Linked DNA regions of Daphnia pulex. The protein of the gene in region 2 purifies or fractionates together with the protein of the main gene of each other region. This does not show direct contact. Links are inferred from orthologs where the notes say so. Each region holds a gene or a part of one and is shown on either strand. Other genes may lie near its edges.

The links. Proteins that work in one complex are often made in the same cells at the same time.
Region 1: the proteins of ubiquitin carboxyl-terminal hydrolase 48-like (region 2) and NAD-dependent protein deacetylase Sirt6-like purify together in Homo sapiens (affinity purification with mass spectrometry; 3 studies listed by BioGRID, with this or other methods). This does not show direct contact. The link is inferred for Daphnia pulex from reciprocal best matches to the Homo sapiens genes USP48 and SIRT6.

What each region holds. Positions count from the first base shown.
Region 1 is NC_060017.1:7,951,739-7,959,754, reverse strand, and holds NAD-dependent protein deacetylase Sirt6-like, read left to right. Parts: upstream 1-3,528; 5' UTR 3,529-3,645; coding exon 3,646-3,711; intron 3,712-3,791; coding exon 3,792-3,919; intron 3,920-4,077; coding exon 4,078-4,320; intron 4,321-4,385; coding exon 4,386-4,559; intron 4,560-4,624; coding exon 4,625-4,748; intron 4,749-4,819; coding exon 4,820-5,302; 3' UTR 5,303-5,802; downstream 5,803-8,016. Other genes in the region: protein disulfide-isomerase A5-like, read right to left, coding at 69-216, 298-373, 436-640, 707-936, 1,003-1,062; ion transport peptide-like, read left to right, coding at 2,139-2,386, 2,482-2,606, 2,987-3,198; cyanophycinase-like, read left to right, coding at 6,580-6,720, 6,804-7,139, 7,206-7,396, 7,460-7,568, 7,635-7,767, 7,836-8,016. UniProt on the Homo sapiens protein: NAD-dependent protein deacetylase, deacylase and mono-ADP-ribosyltransferase that plays an essential role in DNA damage repair, telomere maintenance, metabolic homeostasis, inflammation, tumorigenesis and aging.
Region 2 is NC_060018.1:12,844,166-12,852,163, forward strand, and holds the start of ubiquitin carboxyl-terminal hydrolase 48-like, read right to left. Parts: upstream 4,228-7,998; 5' UTR 4,040-4,227; intron 3,978-4,039; 5' UTR 3,970-3,977; coding exon 3,836-3,969; intron 3,748-3,835; coding exon 3,394-3,747; intron 3,336-3,393; coding exon 3,153-3,335; intron 3,085-3,152; coding exon 2,836-3,084; intron 2,760-2,835; coding exon 2,593-2,759; intron 2,523-2,592; coding exon 2,415-2,522; intron 2,343-2,414; coding exon 2,107-2,342; intron 2,037-2,106; coding exon 1,806-2,036; intron 1,732-1,805; coding exon 1,571-1,731; intron 1,504-1,570; coding exon 1,326-1,503; intron 1,264-1,325; coding exon 1,074-1,263; intron 1,009-1,073; coding exon 884-1,008; intron 817-883; coding exon 638-816; intron 1-637. Other genes in the region: elongator complex protein 5-like, read left to right, coding at 4,293-4,344, 4,403-4,714, 4,779-5,187, 5,255-5,360; rho GTPase-activating protein 21-like, read right to left, coding at 6,176-6,481, 6,575-6,835, 6,906-6,988, 7,052-7,712, 7,787-7,971.

The sequences.
Region 1 (8,016 bases), on a different chromosome or scaffold from region 2:
TGCAATCAACATTCGAAATTTTGTATGATGACCTTTTGGCTTTTGCTGAAAAGTTTTTATCAACTTACTTGAAGTACAATAACGTAGGGAATCCAGTAATATTATATTGTTTCCTAACAACTGAATTCTCCGGTCGATTTACATCGATGGCAGCTATAATGGCTTGCCCTTTGAGCTCAGTTGCAGCAAGAGCATAGTCTGGTTTCATCTTCTTACCTGAAAATTTAAAAAAAAAAAAAAAAAACACATAAGAATTTTAAATGAATGGCTTAACTTAATGTCAAATGAGTCCCTTACAATATCCACACCATGGTGCATAAAACATTATCATGATGCCTTTCTTGTCTTCTTTTCGTAACAACTTTGTCAAACTCTGTAAATAGAAAATTATATCAAATCTTTATTCATGCTGCATTGAGTAATATTTCAAGTTACTGAAGGATTGGCCAAATGTTGGATATCTTGTGCGGAATCATCTTCTTCCCATGGGGCGTCTCCTCCAGGGTCTTTCATGAAAGCAATGAAAGAAGGGACACTTTCCTTCCTATCATAGTCTTTGTGAAATTCACCATCCTTGTAGTGCTTAAGTACTCGTGGCTCAGGTTTGATTTTTAAACTCTTACAGAGTTTTTTCCCTTCACTATTTGAGCATAAAACGAGTTCAGCCAAAACAAAATATTATAAATGTGCAAAACAAGAAAAGTACCCTCCACAGTCAGCTGTAACAATTGTTCCAGTTCCACGAACAATATCGGCAACTTCAGCTAATTGCTTGATCACATTTGATGAATCTTTCAACGATTTGGTGAAGCAAACTAAAACACTTGTCCGTGTCTTCAAAAGCTTTTTGAATTCTTTCAAGTCTGAAACCTCGTCGAGGGTGGATTTCTGACCGGCTTTTTTCCCACAACAGCTGAAGAACAACATGCAAAATACCTTTCATGAATAAAACACTCATTAGACTACAAAACGAAATAGATTTTAATATAGAGTAATTCTTACGAAAAACAACGTGATCTTCATTTTGGTAGAAATACTTAGGATATAATATGAAAAACTCATACACCAAATTCCGATTTATATAAAATTATTCGAAAACCTCTAGACAAACGTCATCCTTGGATTGCCAGTCAAAAGAACCGGTCGTCAATGCAATACACACCACCTGGCGAGTACAACTACAACTGTAGAACGCCAAAAAATTTCAATTTACGACAACGCAACACACCGCGGAAAACTTGATTCTTATAAAGGCATGCTTAGGGACTTAGGCGACTTAGGGTTCCAGGTAGACTCCCACTGATTAAAGGCCTACATTAATAAAATGACAAGAAGGGAATAAAACATTGAAGATTGACATGTTGCATAGGCCCTACCTGCAGAAGAAAGTCTTATGTTAGATGTAATACAGTGAGTAATTTAAAAAAAAATCTTAGTCAAATTTTAGTATTTCGTTAAAATATTATTAACCGAGGGTTCTTAACAATCTCATGATTATGGTTAGAAGCTCCACAGGTAGTAAGTTAGTAACTACTGTTAGATTCTGAAAAATTGCTCATGCTGGGAGGAGAGTGGGGTTGCAAAATAGAGTACGTCAATTTACCGGTATTTATGCGTTTACCCTTTAACTGGTTCTGTACAAGCATATAAAAAACAATTATGTTGTTTTGAAATTTCTTCATTGAATCCGTACAATAAAATTGTCCGCATTCAATGTACGTAATGACGTCCACGATCAAAATAATCACTAAACGGTGCGCCTCATTTTAAATTTGTATTCATGGTCCACAACATTCACATTTAGTAGACTAATGCAGATACAAGCGCAAGGGATGTAATGAACAAAAGTTTAAGGAGGCACCAAACCGTGCTTTCCGGTAATCATATAATTAACTAACAATTTGTGTAACCCATCATTCATTTTGAGTTGCATTTCTGAGACGCTATAAAAGCTGGAATGAATACTCACATCCACGGTAGAACGTTTTGGAATCTTGTTGACGGAAGAGTTCTCCAACTGATCACTATCAAAGGTAATGTACAGATTTGATTTCATTCGGCTAAGAAATTTTTAAAAATTATTTATTAGTTAATGCTGACTGTATGTTACCAGATATTGCGCTGCTTTAAAATCTGCAATGGCTTTTCAACTTCTTAACAAATCGGCTAAAACTAGGCTGGTAGTTTTACTAATCATGGCATCTTTAATTTTGGCGGAGCAACCACCCGGAATTTCAATTTTTCCGCATCCACTTTCTAAGCACTCGTTTACTGAAATTAGTAAATGTGAAGGTGTTTATGACATGAATATTTATGCCCAATTTAATCAAATATGTTTGAACTGCTACAACCTTTATCGACAACCGGAAATTTATCGCGGGTGCCGGTAATGAATTCGCATAAGCTTATAGATTTTATAGTACTTGGTTAACAACATATACTTCCGAAAAAAAAATTACCGCAATTTATTTATCTTTGCAGAAAGGATTGCTTTACTTCCGAATATTTTGGAGGTTGCTTGGCTGTTCTACAAATAACTGATAAAAAAGACAAAATCTTGGAAGATTTATCCATTATTCACCGACAAATGGAATCACCCAAGGAAAATTAATCCCGACAAGTTTCTAGTAAGTTTACATGTTCTTGACTAAGTAAAAAGCTCTTCGACTAATCCTGACAAAACTCTTGCTGATTTGTATAAAAATTTCAGGGCTTTCCGAACGTTCTCTAGTTTGTTCCTGTCAGTGATTGTGATTTAAATGAAATCGACCTTCTCCTTTTTAACTTAACTTTTTGGTGCGTCGCCACTAGCAGTTTTTACAGACATACAGACTTACAGATTCGGTTGAAACCGAATTACGACCGTAACTTGTCTGTAAAAACTGTTACTGTAGACGTAGCCTTTAGCCAACACGACACATACTACACTTCTACCCACTAGTCATACATATGTTGGTAATTTATTTGTTTCTTACGATCAGTTAAGGAATCATAATTGAAAACCCAGACTGCATTATGCTTAGAGTTACAGTTAGCTTACAGGCACTAGGATTCCATGTAGTTTACCGTGTAAACCAAGTGATTTCTCAGTATTACCGTGTCGTTAACGTTTTCCCCGGGCAAGTTTGGTGTTGTATTCTGATTGTATCACAGAGTCAAATATATTACAAATGCTATTTCCATTGTGCAGCATACTAAAAAAATCTGTTTTAACTTTTATTAATTGTTCATACAGGAAATGCTCGTTATTTGTAAATCTCTAGAAACGAGTTACAGAAATTTACGAATGTAACTTTGCGGGTTGCGATTTGCGAAGTTGAAGTCAAGTTTTAATTTTGAAAAATTTTGACACGCGCTCATCTAGGCAGGGGCAGGTGTTACTTAGAAAGCAGCATTTAAAAAAGTATTACGCATTTTCAAATTTTCAAGCTTCTCTTATTTTATTCTTATTTAAATACAAATAATTTTCCCATTTTACGTGGAAGTAAAATTTCAATATATTTATTTATTAGAAAATTGGTGCCCCTGTGTAGTTTGACTTGAATGACGGCCGCTAGTTTGTTTGTGTTAGTACGGGAATTGTTGACGTTTACTAGCTTCATTAAAATCACAAAAAAACAAAGTGAAGTTTGTTACATATAAAACATGTCTTGCAATTATGCTGATGGGTTATCGCCGTACGAAGACAAGGGTAAATTAGGAATACCTGAGGTATTATCATATTTCATAAATTTCTTAGTTATTGATGTGATTTTTCCGCCTACTAATAAGAAATGTTCTGTCATTAACAGAAATTTGACAGTTTGGATGAGGTTGCTGGAAAAATTTTAATTTTAGCCAAATGGATAAAAGAAGCTAAGCATGTAGTCATGCACACTGGTGCTGGCATAAGTACACCAGCAGGAATCCCCGATTTCAGGTATACCAATAAAAGACTATGGTCAAATTCACTAAACACTATGCAAAATACAATAGGGATCATGCATACTGTTTTTACAAGTATTCTTCTTACATATTCACACAAAAACCCATATCTAGTTTTACTGTAATTAGAGTTTATATCTACTTTTTTTACAGGGGCCCTAAAGGTGTGTGGACGTTGGAGAAAAAAGGCCTGAAACCACAAATCAATGTTTCGTTTGATGATGCAGAACCAACATTCACACATATGGCGATTATTTCATTATTCCAAACAAACTATCTGCACTATGTTGTTAGCCAAAATATTGATGGCCTTCATTTAAAATCAGGATTAGACAGAACAAAACTCTCAGAGCTGCATGGCAATATGTTCATCGGACAATGTAGCCTGTGTTCTAGGTAAGGAACAAGAAAACAAACTTGGGCATGGCCATGTGTTTATAACAATCGATATTGCTTTACAGGCAGTACATTCGCCGAAAAGCCGTAACTTCTGTAGGTCAGCGGGAATTACCAGTTGATTGCCCTGCCTTGAAAGGAGGCAAACTTTCATGTAGAGGAAAGCTACACGACACTATACTTGATTGGGAACACGAACTACCAACCAGAGATTTAGGATTGGCAGACATTCATTCAAAGTTAGTCATTTGGATTGGTTGAATAACTATGAAGAGTTTCACTAATTTAATTTTGAAACTAAAAGTGTCGCAGACTTAAGTATTTGCTTGGGAACAACTTTGCAAATAGTCCCCAGTGGTACACTACCATTAGCAACGAAACGTAAAGGAGGCCGTCTCGTCATCATAAATTTGCAGCCTACAAAATGGGTAATTCATTATAAAATATACTTATTTAGCCGTTCATTTTGAATTTCCTCTTTTTTTTATTGGTTTCTTAGGACAAGAAAGCCGATCTGGTCATCAATACTTATGTGGATGACGTGATGAAGTTACTGCTCAAAGAATTGAACACCCCTTGGTTGCCTTACGATCCCAAATGTGATCCTACCCGTCAACCGCTAAGTGAAAAGGAAATGTGGCAGGAAGAATTTACAAAACGAGAGTGGACACTCGGGGCTCGTGCAGTCAGTACAACACGCAAACGACTTTCACACCCGGAAAATAAAGCCGAGCCTAAGGCCAAGAAAACAAAAGACAAAAACCAAGAGAAGCCAATTCCTTGCCAAACCAACAACTCCGCCAACGCTAGTGGGGAAGGTAGTAAACAAGATGCGGAGGTGGACTCTGTCAAAGTTGAAGAAACTGGAGATGAAATCACGAATTTAAAAGAAGAAAAACAAAATGACGATCTAGTTAACCAATCTGAAACAATCGTTAAACAAGAGTCCGCTCAGTTGCTACAGGAAAATGGGAGTGTGTAATCCATCGTGAAGTCATAGTTACTGAAAATGTGCATAATAACAGGGAAATTATCTACATAAAAATGTGTCGACAATAAAGAAATCCAACGCGTTAATTGCATTTCATAGACGGTCTCATCCAACGTGGAATCCCTACCCCTCCAAACTTTCGTTTTATTTCTACTCTGTTCGTTTTATTTCACGTGACTTTTGGTTTCGCTGTGTTTTTTTTTTGCTTGCCCACAGACTGTCTTGAAGGCAAGAGATCAACTTCGTACCCTTATTTGAGTTTGTCTAGCGTTTCTGTATTGATATTAGATCTGTCGCCACTCGCCAGACATCACCTTGTTCTGATTTTTAATGCGATTACTTTTATATCCTCCTAAACTAAATAGAAAGAAATTGATCCGGAATTCTGAAAATATGATATTCTTTTGTTTTTCTAATCCAAGCAGTATCAGGAAAAACTACTGTATAACTTATTGTTCTTTAAAAAAACAATAAATTATTGTCAAAATGAATGTCGCTACAGTATGTTGGGAATAAAATCGGATTTTGATGGATAAGTCTAAACTATCATATCAGTGTTTCATGTCTACAATGAATAACGATTTACTAACCACCTACCTTATTCAAATTTCTACCGGAGATCTGTTTCTGGTCTGTGATTTCTCAAGAGGCTCTGATGAAATGAGCAGGGGCGTGGCATTATTTCCTCAAATTGTCACTGCAAATTGTAGTGAAAAAAAATTAAAATTAATAAAACAAACAAAAATTCGTTTTCATTCGTTTCACTTCATATCTTTCTTTCGCTTTTTTGTCATGTTTACCTACTGATGATTAGACAGCAAGAGGCAACACAAAAGTAAACTTGCTTAACGTTGTAATATTTACACATCTGCAAACGTCACTGTGTCCGTATTCCTTTCAAATGATTACATATCCTCAACAGTCAACAGGCCTCTAAACTTAAGTGGAGGTACAATATTCATAGACGTGTAGCAACATGATTCGATTAAAGCAAAGAAAATCGAAACTTATTGCGCCTTCTCCATGTTGAAATAATCACGAATTGATTTCTCGTTGACTGTATATGAACTAAACATCGAGTACAAACTCGTACAAACTCGAATGTTTTTTGTTTATTTTATTTTTATGCAACTAGTTTGACGTCAAATTGATTATCTCCATTAGCCTACTATCTCTTGTCTTGTCAAATATTATTCACGCAACCCAACATTTAGGGGATATAATCTGCAGTAGGGAACTAACGACCTAAACGTTCAGTAGTGCGTTTTATGTTCGCGATGAAACTATTATTATTAAATATTCTAACGGCAACATTTTTGGGCCTTGTTTCCTCTCAGAGCCTAGTGCTAGTTGGAGGCGGCCTAACCGACGGAAATGCCGAAATTTGGAACAAAGTGGTCACGCTTGCGGTACGAATAACAAATTCTAATTCACAAGAGTACAGTATGTGCATGTCTATAATTTTATAATTAATTTCTAATTTCCTTTCAAGGGAGGGAAAGGTGTGGCCAAGATCGGGATATTCACTACGGCATCTTCAGATCCCATAGGAGCGGCTGAGTACTATGTTGATATGTTCGTGAACGTGTACGGGGCGGCCAGCGCGACGTATATTCCAGTTACTGAAACTAGTAACAATGCCGACGACCCATCCGTAGCCGAACTGGCAAGACAACAAACTGGATTTTTCTTCGGTGGAGGCGATCAACTGAGGATTCTTACAGCCCTTCGTCCTAACGGCAGAGACACGCTAGTTCTAACTGCTGTCAAAGATATGCTAAAAGCTGGCGCAGTAGTGGGAGGAACCAGTGCCGGGACCGCTTGCCAAGTATTCGATTTAACATTTTGACCCCTACTTCATTTAAAGAATGAAATTTGTATAACTGAATTTTAGAGCTCGGCTGTCATGATCACAAGTGGCGCTAGTTGGGATGCTTTGACTTATGGGGCTTTCAGTGGAGGACCTAAACCACTTCGTTCAAATGACCTAACTTACGATGAAAAGGGTGGACTAGGTTTACTAGACGCTGGCTGGGTAACTGATACGCATTTCAGCGAGCGTGGTCGAGAAGGTCGCCTCATTCGGTTGGTCTCTAGCTACTAAATATAAAAATCATCTTACCTTTATATTTAAAAAAATTCCAACAGGTTGTTGCAGGATACCAAGGGCCGTGATATCGGAACTCCTCGAGGCTTTGGTGTGGATGAAGATATGGGCCTTGTCGTCACGGATTTGTACACAAAACCTGTCGGAACTGTATGATGGAAAACATCTTGTAGTTTCAGTTTCTGTTCAAAAGATTTTACAGCAATTGACAAATAGGTTATCGGTACTAGTGGAGGCGTGTTTTTTGCTGATGTTACCAACACGGTGGTTGTTCCATCTCAGAATACTTTTTACACGGGGGTTTCAGCCCACTACCTAACTCAGGACGACTCGATTGATCTCACCACTGGTATACAAAATCAACATTTTCAAGTGGATAAATTTGGGCACAAGTTAACGTAATCAATTTGATATTAGGAAAAATCACATTTGCAAGTTGGAAGTCTCCCCTGAGAGGTAACGAATATTACACGAACGCCGACGTGTCCACTGATATTCTATCCGCAAATTTGAATCGTCGATGGGCTACCTTTGCCGACCAGTTTTTTGACAATAGAAGAGATGATTTCATCGCTCATTTATCTTTCGAGAGGGATCC
Region 2 (7,998 bases):
ACGAGAAAAAAAGAAGAAGAAAAAACAAATCCAAACAAAATAAAACACGAGAAGCCAATGCCAATGTCAAGATAGAAGGAAACAAGCGAAGCTCTTCTTCTTCTCCTCCGCCCACTTCACTCGGCCGTCAATTCGCAACCGAGCCTAGCCTAGGTAACTCAACTCGGAGGAGTCGGAAAACCTCTGGCTGGAAACAATCTAGGCACAGCGGGGTGACAACAGACGCAGCTGAATCAACAAAGGGCGCAATAGCGTAATCACTGGACCATACTCTTTGCCTGATACCCAAAGAACCTACGACGATCCTCAGATGCGCAATAGAAACACCCAAAAAACAACGCCAAAAAGTACCGAAAACGAGAAAAAATAAAGCGAGGGTCGAGGAGAGAGAGATACAGAAAAGAAAAAAAAGGGAAGAAGGCAGGGCTGCAGGAAGATAGAAGAGCTGGCACAAAACAAAGAACCCGATCCATCAAGCGCTCGTCGGCATGGGGCCCAACTTGTGACAAATCGAGTAAAAATACAACTCCATCGAGGAGAGAGAAAGTACGACAAGGAACGACAACACAAGGCCACTGTAGTGCATCGCTCACACCAGTCAACTCTCCTACACTACAGAAATGAAACACACACATACCTGACAAAGGATCTCCACTTGTCGATCACTTCCTTGGCGATGACGTAAATTTCGCCATTTTGTACCGCAAAAGGATCCGGACGGTTTTTAGATCGAAACAGATCCTGAAGCAACGATTTTTGTTCCATGGCCAACAGTCGGTTCGACTCCTTGGTCTGACCTTCTTGTTCCGCCATTCTCTGTCGTGAGGAATTCAAGAATTAAAATAATGCAAGCAACCGGCAATGGTGTCCTTTCAATATTTACAATGCACTTTTCGCAGGGGGGTTCAGATGAGGAAAATTCAATGGCTTCGGGAAAGTGACGATGTAGTATTTCCCAAACAGCCGAATGGATCAGCCTACGTGGTCCTTCATCGGCAGTTAGTTTATCTAGAATCAAATAAAACGTCTTTGATCAATTCACTGTTAGCGGATGGAATTTGATATGAACATACCGTGAGGGCATAATAGGTCTTCATTGAATCCTATTTCTCCTACAGAAGACGCAGACGAGGGCCTGTTTTCCCATTCCAACGTTTTTTCAAACTCAACTTGCCACTCGCTTCGATCTGGTTGCCGATCAAAACGTTCCGAAACAATCGAACGGCTTCCATTATACTGCCCGTTGCTTCGCTTTCTTTCCATCTGGTAAAAAATGGCGTTATGTTACACATTTGATCGGCTTTTTTAAAAGACGGATAGTCTACCTTATGTTTCGATGTGATGGGCAGATCGGAAATGGTTGCTTCTTCGATTTGATTGGTAGCACTATCGACGCCATTTTTTACTTTCATCGATTCCCGTTCAGAATTCACCATCCGCTCGAGCACCATTTTCTTCCAGGAGCGTAAAGATTCCTTGCCGATCCAGAATGCGGGTTGGTTTCTGCGAATAACGAATAACAATTGATTAGAAAGGCACCATCAGAAAAAGAGTTTTTAAAGTTCATTACGGATCGATTTTGCTTTTCAGCAGATTTGCAATCAATTTGCTTTCGTTGTCCAGTTGAGACCGAAGTTGACTCGTGATGCATTTAGTCGTAACGCAGTCCCAGCACAGGTCGTTGATGTTCAGACGTCTGCCACCAGAATATTCGGCGTACAACTCGTCAGCCTTTGAGGAAAGTCAATAGGAAATGTTAAGTTTTGATAATCGATAATCAAAGTTACCGCGACAAACTCATTTACCGCGCTGGAAGAAACGAGTTTGTATTCTCGGAATTTCTCTGGGTTCAGTTTGCCGTGCTCACAGAGTAAAATGGAATTGTCAATTGGTCTTAACTTCTCGTCATTTCCCAGCCAACTCGACAGCCACTGGGTAGGTATAAATTCACCTTGATCCAGCGAGTTGCACGGAAGACTGCCGTATAAACGTCTCATTTTGGAATGCTTCTCTCTACTCTTCTTCAAACTTTCGTCCTAGTGAGAAAATGCATTAGCTTTACAATCAATAGAAAAAACATGAAAATGAGAATGTTTAATGATTTACTTTCCGAGAGACTGTGTCCCGGGTCCAGGCTTCGAAGTTTTCATTTTCGTTAAAGATAGTAGTTTGAACCCAGGGAGGCAGAACAGAACAGGGATCTGACAGCGATGGGGTTGTAGAGCAAGCAGGAACGCTTTCTGGTTTGGCAGCATCCCGTCGACTATACACGAGCATGTATGCGTTGCTGGAACCATGACTCCCTTTAGTAACTTTGGCACCAGCTCGACCTTTTTTAGAATCTTGCAAATGAAATGTAAAAGACGGAAAAATTTAGCTTTAATTACTTCCAAACACACACAGTGATACATTACCTTCCAAGTCTTCTTCGATTCCCAATTTGAAATTGGTGCCCTCAATCTTTTGCACAACTTCGTCGTTAAACTTGTACCAAGTTCCAGTTACTGGGTCCTTAATGTGTGCTGCAAAATAAAAAGTAGACGTCAAGGAAATAAATATTGACTAGAATCAGGATAATGAAAAGCTTCTCACCTATATAATGCCCGCTGTAGGCGCTGGGTCCTCGGTGAATTAATACGGCCGAAAGGTCGTAAGTAAGACTGCTAGGTTCCACACCCTGAGTTTTGACGTAGTTTGACATTTCGACGACAAAAGGAAAATGCACCATGGAACTGACTTTCTTCTTCAGTCCAGTTTTCCTACATTGGCAAGAAATGTGAATATTAAAAAAAACGTCGTCATGCTTTCTAGAGATTCTTTAATCAATGTCGGTACCGATCAAAAACGAATCGCAAGAGTTGAATGTTGAGCATGGCGGGCAAGTGACGAAGGCGAATGCTCCGCGTCGCATTCTGTTTGCTACTGCAGTTTTCACAAAAGTACTGGTCTGTCCCTTCTAGTTTTTCTTCATGCAAAAACTCGGCAAGACATTCGTCCAACGTAACGTCGCTCTTACTACCAAGGCTCAAGTCCAACTCGTAGAAAGCTGAAGGACTTGATGACTCCTTTTGGCATTTTGAACACCTAGAAATTTGTAGAAATCCATTCTTTATATTTAACAATTCTATATGGTTGTACAAGAACCAAATTACCTTGTTACATATTCATATTCTCCTCTGAACTGATCATAAACCATGGTAGAAACTGTCGTGTCTGTTTGGAGTGAGAGTTTGTCTTCTAACAGGTTAAGAAACAATTTAGAAAATTCTTGGGCATCTTGCTGGGTGGTGGTGTCAATCCCGAGTGAGGTGATCAGTGATGTTGGGTTAACACAACTGGAAAAAAAAGAGTCAGTTTGAAAATCACATTTGGTAAACGGAACATTGAAGATACCTTCTTTTAGAAAATTGCATTTGAGCAAACAGCAGTTGTAGTTTACCCACTGGGGAATTTGGAATGAAACCCCCCATTCCTAGCAGGTCAAGAGTTTTGTTTTCTTTCTCTGATGGATCAAAGAATGGAACCCAGGAGTAGATTGCTTTACGAAATATGGGGTTGTGGAACCAGAGCTGCAGGAGGCTATTGATATAGCAAGTTGCTCCCAGATTGGTCAGCCCAACGAAATTGCCCTCTTTCCGCACAATGTCACAAGGGTCCTCTTGTTCTTCTTCAGTCACCTTCAAATCTTCCAACCATACCTTCTCTCCTAGTCCAACAAGGCACCGGGGGTTTATTTTGCAGTTTTTCCTTCAAATGAGAGGAAGCATTATTTTTTCTTTTCTGGTCTGGGAGTACAGAAGTAAGTTCGGTAAGTTCTAGCAAGATGAATACTTACTTGCATTTTCCAGGTTTGCAAGTGGCAACTTTTAGCCTGTACGAAGTCTGAATATGATCAATTGTTATGGCTCCAGCTTCTGTGCTTTCAACCCACTGCCATGCTTCTTTGGAAGCCTGGTCCATTTTAGACATGACCTAGGCTGAAAAGGTAAACAGTTGGGCAACTCACATGTTGGATGAAAACATTTTAGCGTGAACAAACCATGAAACGAAGAGTAAAGGTCTAATGAAAGCTACAAAACCAGCCTTTCAACAATTTTTAATAAGGAAATAAACAATGTCAAATTGAACAATCAACCCAAAACACCGGGTTTTTAGGAGGAACGAAGCATAAAATTGTTCACTTCATTTCCTTCGCTAATCTGCTGCCATCTATTACCTAAGCGGCAAATCACGATGCACGAATAAACAATAACAAGCAGACGACGAACGGCCTCGTGCAGTGTTCGACGAAAATGATTTTGAAAGACATTTTAACTCAGCCTCCCGTTTCTACTCTAATTCAAGGTTAATTGGATATTTTTGACAACATAATCCTTATTACAATTTTTTTTTTAATCCTTAGATTCGTGTTCACTTAAAGGACGACCTTTGTTCTTAAGTTTAATTCGTCACTATTCCGAGAATGGCTATTCCATTCGTTACTTCAAATACGATTCACCTCTATCTTCTGAAATTACCGAAATGGAACAATTAAAAATTTCGTGGAAAACATCCATTGTGGATGGGAATCAAGATTTAATGTCAGTCGAAAATTCTTGGACATCAGAAGCGAGAAATGACCAGGTTTTGGTTGCGATAGACTCGCTGTCACCCCTGCTTCTGAATTGGACTGTTGGGGCAATTGCGTCAGCCTTGAGGAATTTACAAAAGACAAGTAAGATTGTGCAACCTGTGTAATTTTACAGCTTTATATAAACTCTATTTGAAATGGTTTCTAGCAACAGTATCTGTGATTGCCCTAGTTCATGGTGATGTCCATGATAAGCACACTCTGCAAGCACTGAATTACATATTCCCTTGTCACCTGGCTGTTCGCAGAGCACAGGGACGCAACCTCTGCAGTGGCACATGGAGGAAAGCCAGTGGAAAAATTACTGATAGTGTAAAGAGTACTTGTTTCTCGTGTAGCAAAAATTTAAATTTGAATTATTTTTTTTTTGCACAGGATGAATATTACAGCATCACAGATAAATGGGAGTTGAAAGATGTCAAAGAGTTTATTGAAACTCAACCTGCAGTTATGCCAGACTCTTTACCAAAAAGTGCAGTACCAAAGTCAACTTTCAAATTAGATTTGAATGCCAGAGAAGAACAGGCTAGGAGTCAGGTCGTTTTACCTTACATCAAGTAACATCGACATACATCTCCATTTCAACACAATCTAATATTAAGCGCTAATTTTTGATAAATTTAGAAAGCACAACGAGTCATCAAGCGAACCGTCCAGGGGTAAAATCATTTACGAAGTGGAAGCACCCGATTGGGACGACGAAGACCCTGACGACGATCTCGAAATCTAAACAATTCACTTGGTATTAAATTTCAATAAAAAAAGTTCAACTTGAATTTAAATCAGTGTAATTTCATTTGTCACGTTTTATTCTTGTGGCATCCAAAAATTGCCATATGCCTTTTTAGTTTTATTTTCTCTTTTATTATATCTTGTCTTGTTAAAAGTTTCTGTCATGGCTGACGCAACAAGAGATATATAGAGAGCAAGAAAATGAATGGACGGCACGTCAAGCGTACTAATCCCATATATAATCAAATAATTCAGGTTAAAGAAGGTCGTTATGTAAATCACTGTACTACACAATATTTTTGTTTGTTTTTTTCACGGGAGGAAACATGTTTTCAGAACATTACAAAATGGCGAAAGTGCGTGCGAATGGGCCAACGACGGGCAGACGATCGTGCCGCGCCATAAGAGAGCCATGATTTTTTGTTTTGAATGTACACTTTTTGTTTTTGGTAAAAAATAAAAATTATCATCACAGCTTTTAAGGGTGGTGGTGGTAGGGGTGGGGGGGGGGTGGAGGAACCCGACCGACGCGACGCACTACTATTTTCATCTGTACACAATCAACACGAACAGAAAAACATTTACATTGAACATTTTTTTTTTTTTGTTTGAATGAAAAAGAAAAGAAAAAAATGAAAAGTCATTTGATGTCATTCGAAACAACAAATTCCCGCCATCAACGGACATTTTTTTTTACTTTCTCCTTTTTTCTTAAACTTTTTTTAAAAATAGAATTTTCTGATTTATTATTTAGAATTTCCCCATGCAAAACGTCAATATTCTTTCTTTTGACTGCCACACCGTTTCATTTTTTCACGGGCTGGAAACGTCTCCATCCGCTCGGATGGCAGACGAGGGGGCCTCGAGTGGCTGCGAATCAGTTAGTGGCGGTGGCGACAAACTGTTGTTGATGATGGTGGCGCAGGCCATTTCTGATCTGCGACACAATTCCGGCGAGCTGGTCCTGATGCGCTCGCTGCGCATCCACGTCTTGAGACTGCGGTCCACGTTGAGATCCTCGTCGCTAATCAAGGGCTGGAGACGGTCCCAGGCCGACCAGCGTGGAGCCGGAATGACGTTTCTCTCATCACTTTTGTCGGCCAGCCAGCGGATCCGCACCTTTGGCAAGCAAATCGTATCAAACTCCTGGAACACACGTTGGGCAAAAGGGATCGACGACGAGTGGAATGGGAACCGAGTTGAAAAAATCACCTTGTCGAAATCGCGAGTGCCGCCGACCGTGTGGCGCCGCTTGAGCCCAGACTCGCCGCTCCGTTGGACGAATTTCTTGGCCGTTTTCTGGCCGCCCGTCTGCCTCATTTCCCGCTCGCGCGCTTTCGTGTTGCTCTCCGTCTTCTCGTTCTTGGTCAACGAGTCGGAGCGCTTGACGCCCTTGCCAACGACCTCGGCGCTTTTCGACTCGCGTCTCACGCTCGGCTGTTTGCTGTTGGCTCGATCGGCCAGCTCCGTTTCCTGGACAATTTTGAAAATGAATTTAACATTTTAAAATTTAATCCAATCCATTCGACTCGGGGGAACTTGCCTTGAGTCCGCCTCTGGGCTGGTCGGAAATGTTGACAGCTTCGTCCAGGTTTGATTCCAGTAAACGCTTTGACTGCTCACCATCTGTAGGAAATGCAATTAAAATTAATTCCTCCTGCCCATTAAATTTCAAATTGGAAATGGTACCGGTCGTTGTCGCAGCCTTTTTCGTCTCTTCCGTTTTGTTCAAACTGGCGATGCTGGCCTTCTTGGTCGGACTCGTCTCGGCGCTCTTGAGACGCGCATTGCCTTTGACGGGCAGGATTCTACTGGGCGACTGCGGTTGCATCTGCCCCGCCGACAGTTGACGGATGACTTTAGGAGCCTGGAGCTCTCCGACGCTCATCTTCTTGCCGGCCGGCGGCACCGCGCTTTTGCCCAGCTCCACCGTCTTGGCTCGGCCGACGACGGCCATCGACGATCGGCTCCTGACGGCCGACGAGGATGAAATCGACATCGTTGATTTGGTTGGTGAAATTTTGGCCGAGTCGACGGCCGCCACTTTGGTCGGGGCTGGATCGTTGGCCGACTTGTTGGCGGTGGCAGAGGGTTTGGGGATTTGAGATCGACCGACAGCTCCGGCTACTCCGGCAACAATTGTCGTCTGTTGTTTGACTGTTGTTGTTGTTGTTGTTGCGGTGGTTTTGTTGGCAGCGACGATTCGGCCGGCAGAAGATTTGACGACAACGGCATTGCCCACTTGCAACTCGACGGCCGGTTTCTCGTCCAGCTTTTCTTCGGCGACTGGGACATTGTCTTGCTCCTTTTGAACGGCGGGCAATACTTGGACAGCTTCCGGCTCCTTCTCCTATTGTTTTAAAATGAATAACCAAAATTTGAAATGAGAAAAATCTAAAAATTGAGAAATGGCGAACGACGTACGTTGATGGGTCGAGGTAGAAGTTTTTCATCGGCGCCACCATTTTCCATCACAACGGCAACAGGAAGTGGATCCACTCGTGTTTTAGGCTGCTCCGCCTGCTGCTGCTGCGGTTGTTGTTGTTGTTGTTGTTCCGGTTGGTTGTCTTTGTCTTTGTGGGATGCGTCCGCCGTCGAATCGGCCACTTCTGGTGGGAGGAGAAAGACGAAAAAGA